Linked DNA regions of Sus scrofa. The protein of the gene in region 2 purifies or fractionates together with the protein of the main gene of each other region. This does not show direct contact. Links are inferred from orthologs where the notes say so. Each region holds a gene or a part of one and is shown on either strand. Other genes may lie near its edges.

What was found.
Region 1: the proteins of MYO1E (region 2) and OSTF1 purify together in Homo sapiens (co-immunoprecipitation; 3 studies listed by BioGRID and IntAct, counting the BioPlex papers as one, with this or other methods). This does not show direct contact. The link is inferred for Sus scrofa from reciprocal best matches to the Homo sapiens genes MYO1E and OSTF1.

Annotation. Positions count from the first base shown.
Region 1 is NC_010443.5:228,176,573-228,180,393, reverse strand, and holds part of OSTF1 (osteoclast-stimulating factor 1), read right to left. Parts: intron 2,249-3,821; coding exon 2,185-2,248; intron 525-2,184; coding exon 471-524; intron 1-470.
Region 2 is NC_010443.5:112,862,352-112,866,172, reverse strand, and holds part of MYO1E (unconventional myosin-Ie), read right to left. Parts: intron 3,806-3,821; coding exon 3,691-3,805; intron 3,482-3,690; coding exon 3,312-3,481; intron 1,230-3,311; coding exon 1,084-1,229; intron 1-1,083. UniProt on the Homo sapiens protein: Actin-based motor molecule with ATPase activity. Unconventional myosins serve in intracellular movements. Their highly divergent tails bind to membranous compartments, which are then moved relative to actin filaments.

The DNA.
Region 1 (3,821 bases), about 120 Mb from region 2:
CGTCCTCTACCCTTGTTACTCATTCTGGCCTCTAGAGCCTACTTAATTGAAACACACTTCAATTGCTATTCTTATCACACTTCAATTGCTATTCTTATCACAAGGTCTTGTAATGATCTGCTACACATGTCTCTCCTCCTCCAGACTCTGAGCTCGGGGAGTCATAGACCATGCCTTTCCACTTGCCACTAAGCACATGGCAGGTAAAGTACTCCCAAATATTTGTGGACTGGCATTCTGGAAATTAAAACCACATATTTCTCTAAAGTGAAAGCAGGCAGTTCAAAGACTGCCTCTGGGGAAGGCAAGGATTTAACTGGGACGGGAACATTTCTGGGAGATAGGAATGTTCCAGATCTTGATCTTGATCTTACATGGGTGTATATATTTGTCAGATTCATCAAACTAGATAATTAACATCTGTGTGTTTTACCATACTGTGTATCACAATAAAAAAGAGTCACACCTACCTCTTTTTGCAGCTTCATGCAATGGATTGTCAATGGATTCTGCCTGTTCAGCCACTAGATTGAAAAGAAAAAGGAAAAACCAGTGCTGAGAGGCCACCCAGCTTCAGAAGTACCACGACTTTCCATCGTACAGTTTCCCTTACTTAATGTGGATTTAAAAAAAAAAAAAAACGACAGATAATCAAAATGATGTTTTGTGCTTTGAAAGAAGCTGAATTATGTGTCAAATGAAACCAGGCTAAAACAATAACCTAGCAATTAACTGTGAGGATAAACAGAAACAAACATAGCAATTAACTGGAAGTATGAATAAAAACAACAACAGAAAAAGTATGATCAAAAACAGATCCAAGGTCTGCACACCAGTTTACTCAAGTGTTTCACAAATTTAGTCAGGAAACTGCAAAAGAAAGCATTTGATGTTGACTTTTACATACTATAAAAACATCCTGCTTTGAAGATGGCTAAAAAGAATTGTCTCCCTTGTGTGCATATGAGGAATGGGGTAAAGGAGAAATATTTTGCTTTCTGCATTCAGAAAGGGCAATCAGCACACCTATACTTGCCTCTACAGAAGGTGTGTTCACTGTTGTCCTAGAGTCAGTCAGAGTGACCATGTGAAGCTTGCTGTCCAAGTGACTTCAGACCCACCCCTCCCACACAAAGGGCTATGGACACTCCCTTGGCTACGAGGTATCTAAAGCAACAGAGGAATATTTTATACCCTCAGTGTCTGTAACCAGCTGGGTCTGGGATGCATAGTAGAAGTTTATTTGGGATTTCAAAGGTTAGAGGAGTGTAGAAACATTTGAAGTCTTAAAATCCAGAATGGTATGGCCCTTAGACTGGTAAGTGGGACCCCTGTGCTGAGACTCAGGCCTCAACCTCACTCATTTTCCTCCCCTCTCCCTTCTTCTCCTCCTCTCCACTCCCCCAGGAGCTTTACGTACCTTCCTGAAATTTCCTAAGTCCCCTTCCAGTGTTTGGAACTGGTGCCTGATGTCAGCCCTATTGGTCTAAGGATGTATCTAAATGCTCAAGTTCAAAAGAATCTTAGAAGTGATTTAAATCAAACCCTCTCATTAGACACATAGAGAAATGGTCCCAGGAGCAGCAGTTAAATTCCTTAACTAAGGTCCCTTGTTACAAAGTGGAAGAAGAAGGTTTTAAACCCAAGACCCTTGTTTATCAATCCTATGCGCTTTTTACTTTACTCTGCTGATTTTTATGAAACTCTGTTTTATCCCCCTTCTGATTAGAACCAGCCTCATGGCCAGGGCCCCATCTCATGGCTCAAGCTCCCTAAACTGCTCTATTACTCATTTAAAGAACATCACTGCCCCAAACATTAATTAATATACACAGCAAGGTTACCTCATCACAAAAGGACTAGTCTGAAAAACAAAAAAGAAGGAAAAGAAAAAGAAGAAGAAAAATGTTCTAAGAGTTGAAGGAAATAAAACCATGAGCATTTTATCCTTGGAAATGTTAGGTTCTTTCAAGAATGTTACAATGCATTTTCTTAAGTCAAGCTCAAGTACCTCCAGTGTCCACGACCACTTTATTAAGGGCAGGTTCAGAGTAGAAAATGTCCGAGCCTGGCAATGACTCCAATGATTTCTCTGCCACAGCAGGAAGCAGAAAGGCCTCAGGAATCAGACAAATGAAAGTACACAAAGTACACCCCAAGTAAAGCCACTGCAGCCAGGCTTACCGTAGTTGCTTGGGATCAGTCCAGTCCTGCCTTTGGAAGTGCCTTTCCACCAATTGGTATCACTCTGGTGAAAGAAGAGTTAGATTATTAGGTGGCACCTAAATAGTGATGTTCTGGTCACATGCCATCACTTTGAAAACCATGTGGCTTTTTTTTTTTTTTCCATTTTCACAGGGCAGAACAGAAAATATTTTTGTTTTGTTTTGTTTTAGGTAAAATACAACACACTTCCAACTCAAATACAGAGTTGCTGCTCTACTAAGTGCCCACTGCCCCTGGTCACATTGATCAAGTTTCCTCACTCCCTAGTTACTGATTCCCTTTATCACTAAAGTCTAAATATACACACATCTGCCTGTAACAAATTGAATAAACTTTGCTGGAGAGCCTCAACAGTCAAACAAATCAAATGGAAATAATATGAAAGAGAAGGAAAAAAAATTATATTTAGTTTGATCATCTACAGGATTTATTTTGTCCAGAGTCTAACTTCTCTTAGTCTCAAAAAAAAAAAAAAAAAATATATATATATATATATGTGTGTGTGTGTTTATTTAAACTTTGTTGTTTGCTAACTTTTTATTATAGAAAAATTCAAGCCCATACCAAAGTAGAAAGATAGTATAAGGAACCTACTCATGCCCATTTCCCAACTGCATGAATTATTTACTCACGGCCAACATTATTTCTTATATATCCTTACCTATAACGTCCCTGTCCAGATTACTTTGAAATAAATTCTAGACTTCATATTATCTTATCTATAAATATTTCAATATGAATCTCTGAAAGGTAAGGTCTTTTTCAAAGACATAATAATAATAATACCATTATCACAGCTTAAATTTTTTCAATACTAATTCCTTAATACTACCAAAGAGCTATAATATCAAATTTTCCAGTATGTCTCATAACGGCCTTACAATATGATGGATTTGTTTGCCTCTTCAATCTCTTTTAGCCTATAGGTTCCCCTTTCATTTTTTTTTTTTCATTCCTTTTAATATACTTGTCAAATAAACTAGTTTGTCTTAAAGAGTTTCAAACAGTCTGGATTTTGCTCATTGTATCCTTGTTATCAAAACTGTTCCAGGAGTTCCTGTCGTGGCACAGTCCCATCGTGGCACAGTGGTTAATGAATCCGACTAGGAACCATGAGGTTGCGGGTTCGGTCCCTGCCCTTGCTCAGTGGGTTAACAGGTTAACGATCCGGCGTTGTCGTGAGCTGTGGTGTAGGTTGCAGACGTGTATCGGATCCCACGTTGCTGTGGCTCTGGCGTAGGCTGGGGGCTACAGCTCCAATTAGACCCGTAGCCTGGGAACCTCCACATGCCTTGGGAGCAGCCCAAGAAATCACAAAAAGACAAAAAAAAAAAAACAAAAAAAACAAAAAAAAAAAAAACCCAAAAACCTGTTCCTTTGTGCCCCTGTATTGCCTATAAATTGACATTACTTCTAGAGGCTTAATTAGATTCAGATTCAATTTTTTTAGCAAGACGGTTCCATCTGTAGCACTGATTTTTCCATCAGGAGAAACAGAATGTCTGGTGCTCTCTCTTTTTGTAACATTAGTAACCACTGATGAGCACTACCGGGATCCATTTTTTCTTAAGGGGTGCAAAATGGTGACTTTTCAT
Region 2 (3,821 bases):
CCTGAAGGCTGCTCTGGCAAGAAGCAGTGGTATCTTCAGAAGGATGCACTCAAGGAGGAAGCTGCTGGGCTCAAAGGGGCTTTTCTTCCTCTTTTACTAGCTTCCAGTGCACTGACAGGATCTCCCTCATAGGAGGGAGCTTAGTCTAGGAAGTATTAGCATATGAAGAGTTAGGGAATCTCAGCCTGCAAGGAAGCCCCTCTGCCAAAAGCAAGCCAGAATGCTGACAGGAAGAGCAAGTTCCCGCCTGTGAACTTGGAGCTGAAGGGAGCATCTGGCAATGACTCCAGGATTGCAGATTATGGAGACCAATCCTGGGCATTAACAAGAGGAAGGGCTTCAAGGACTCCAAGAAAACTTCCCTTTTAGGACACTCAGAGGTCACAGCTGTCATAAAACTAAAAAAGCTTTACTGATGACCTCAAGGCCACCTCTGCTTGGCCTTTCCTGGTGAAATGGGGTAGGTCTTCAACAAGAGCAAGGCGGGCTTGACGCTTGGCCCCACCGCAGTAATAGCAATTATGCTCGGCTTGTTTCACATACTAGGTTTATCTCTCACATTTTATGAGAACAAAGAATCCGAGGATCCCTTGATCAGAGGAGCAGATCAGAAGGCACCTTTTCTTGTCATCTCATTCCCTGAGGAATAAGATCGCCCTGAGACCCATGAAGGTCAGATCTTCCTAGGGAAGAAGAGGAAACTCAGTTCTTGTCATTTTTTTTTTTTTTTTGTCTTTTAGGACCGCACCAGCGGCATATGGAGGTTCTTAGGCTGGGGTCTAATTGGGGCTGTAGCCGCCAGCCTACACCACAGCTACACCAAAGAGGGATCCGAACCGTGTCTGCGACCTACACCACAGCTCATGGCGACGCTGGGTCCTTAACCCACGGAATGAGACCAGGGATCAAACCCGAAACCTCATGGTTCCTAGTCGGATTCATTTCCACTGGGCCACAGTGGGAACTCTTTCATCACGATTTTGATTGGGGAGCCTGCCTAGGCCCTTCCCTAGGCTGTGCGTGGAGTAGCAGAGGGTGATGCTGAGGCCAGAGGGGGCTGCCCCGCCCCCACCCCCCACTCACCTGAGGGACACGGACAAGATCCTCTCCATCTCAATTCTCCGCTTCAGCACCTCCTTCACCAGGCCTTTGTCTGGGCCTTGTTTGACCTTTTCTCGTCCAATTAAGTACAAACACTTGGGAGTAAGGAGCAAGTCTCGCTTGACACTCTGCAAGGAGAGGTGTGTTAAGAAAGGTCAAAGTGACAGCCGTCCACAAGATGGGCCTTTGTGCCAGGTGAAGGGAAGCTGTGTCAGATGGCAAAATTCTGCTACCTTTGGATGGCCACTCCATTTATCACCTAACCACATCTCTTGGGAGCAAAAGTGAGCATTATTAATGATTATTAGGTCAATGTATATAAAACCTCTGATACTTGACTCTCTTTGACTTACAAAAACGGCAGACTCATATGGATCCTCCTATGGTGTCAGGACAACAGGTGCGAAGGAACAGTCTGGGGCAAACCAAGGCATATGATGACCCTACTGCTACAGAATGTTTCTCACACAGGAATCCCTCAAGTGTCTGCCTATGTAATTTTTGTGAGTCCATGAAATTTTCACCTTTTAAAAATTGGTAAATTTTAATTTCACAGATAATCCTTAAAAATATAACATAAGCATACTGTGTTACACGCAGACACTACTGAGAGCCCATGTTTGCATTCAACTCCACCGCTAGAGCAGCTGGCACCACATTCAGGTTGTAAGGAATGATTTGGTTTCAGCAAAACATCATCATCCTTCTTGCTAAATGAATCTTGTTATTTATTTCATTGTTTTCCTTTCCTGACCAAAAAACAAACAAGAAACAACACACAAAAATGTTCTTAATGGGTCCATGAGCTGTCAAGATTTCAGATTTCACTATGAGGCCAAGATTTTATCAGGGAAAACAAAGTGTCTAAGGGAAGAGGTTAAAAAACAAAAACAAAAAAACAGTCATCCCGAGTGGCTACATGAAAGTCCTGCTTAGTCTTTCCCTCAGGGGAGATGGGTAAACACCTTGCTTGATACTCTGAATCTTTCAACCCAGTGATTCCACACCTATCAGTTTATTTTAAAGATCTGTAAAGACCAGTGTAAGGATGCTCACTGCATCCTTTTACTTATGATAGTAAAAAAAAAAAAAAAAAAGAAAGAAAAAGAAGAAGCTCATAAGAAACTGGTTTAACATATCGTGAGAGCCCCCATCATGGCTCAGTAGTAATGAACCCAACTATACCCATGAGGACACGGATTCGATCCCTGGCCTTGCTCAGTGGGTAAAGGATCTGGCAATGCCATGAGCTGCAGTGTAGTTCGCAGATGTGCTCGGATCTGATGTTGTGGCTGTGATGTAGGCCGGCAGCTGTAGCTCCAATTTGACCCCTAGCCTGGGATCCTCCATATGCCACTAGTGTGGCTCTAAAAAGACAATATATATATGTAAGTAACTGTTGGATACTATGCAGCTAAACAAAATAATTCATACTGACACATCTATTAATATGGAATGTTCTCCCACACACTGTAAGAGAAAAACAACCCAGGACATAAACCAGCCGGGAAAGGTGTGTGCATAGAGAAGTTCTAAGGGATTAAATACAAAATGTTACCAGCGCTTGTTTCTGGGTACGGGTGGTTATTTGTCTTCTGGCTTCTCTGCATTTTGTAAATTTTTCTACTGTTTTAATAATCAGAAAAGCAAAATTGTATATTACTTTTACTTTTTTTTATTTTTTGCTTTATATAGGGCCACAGCCTCGGCCTATGGAAGTTCCCAGGCTATGGGTTGAATCAGAGCTGCAGCTGCCGGCCTACACCACAGCCTCAGCAATGCAGGATCTGCATCTGCAACCTATACCACAGCTCACGGTAACACCAGATCCTTGATCCACCAAGCAAGGGCAAGGACTGAATGCACATCCTCATGGATACTAGTTGGGTTCATTACCGCTGAGCCACGATGGGAACTCCCTATAAGTTATTTTTAAAACTAAGGACCCTATCCAAAGACAGAAGCAGCAAAAAAAAAATAAATAAAAATAAAAAAGAAATATATAACTAATGACCCTGGAGTTCTATTGTGGTTCAGCAGATTAAAGATCCAGCATTGTCATTTGCAGTGGCTTGGGTCACAGCAGTGATGTGGGTTTGATCCCTGGCCCAAGAACTTCTACATGTGATAAGCAGGGCAAAAAAAAACCCCAAAACCCAAAACCCTAAGGACTCTGATGTGTGACTCAGAGGCGGGCAGTCAGCACATACCTTGAATCTCCTGTCATACTTGGTCACCGTGTCTGCAAAGTCAATCTTCTCTCTCTTGCCTACAAACTGCTGGAGTTCCGGGTGCTCTTCCATCCCGATGTAATCTCCGATGAAGTTTCTGTTAATACTGTTTCTCCTTCTCTCCTTCTTGTTCAACAGCAGGTCTGAGGCTGCAATTCCCAAAAAGGCAGAAGAGGGTCAGTTTCCCAGCAGCAGGAGGAGGAAAGCACTCAGTGTGGAATCACAGAGAGAAACGCTAAATGAACACAATTTTTCAACACACGATACTATATGGGAAGGAAAATGAACGCATGACTTCATTTAAGCTCAAAAGTAATTTGCGATTTTGTAAATACATGAAGCAAAGTGACTACAATACCCTCTTCTCTCATTTGGACGTATTTCTTCCGGGCCACAAATTTCCTCCAAGTTTTTTGGATCACCCGGGCATACCCATCATATTTTCTTTCTCTCATTTCTTCTAGAAGAAATAGCTGTGAAGGTAGAGAA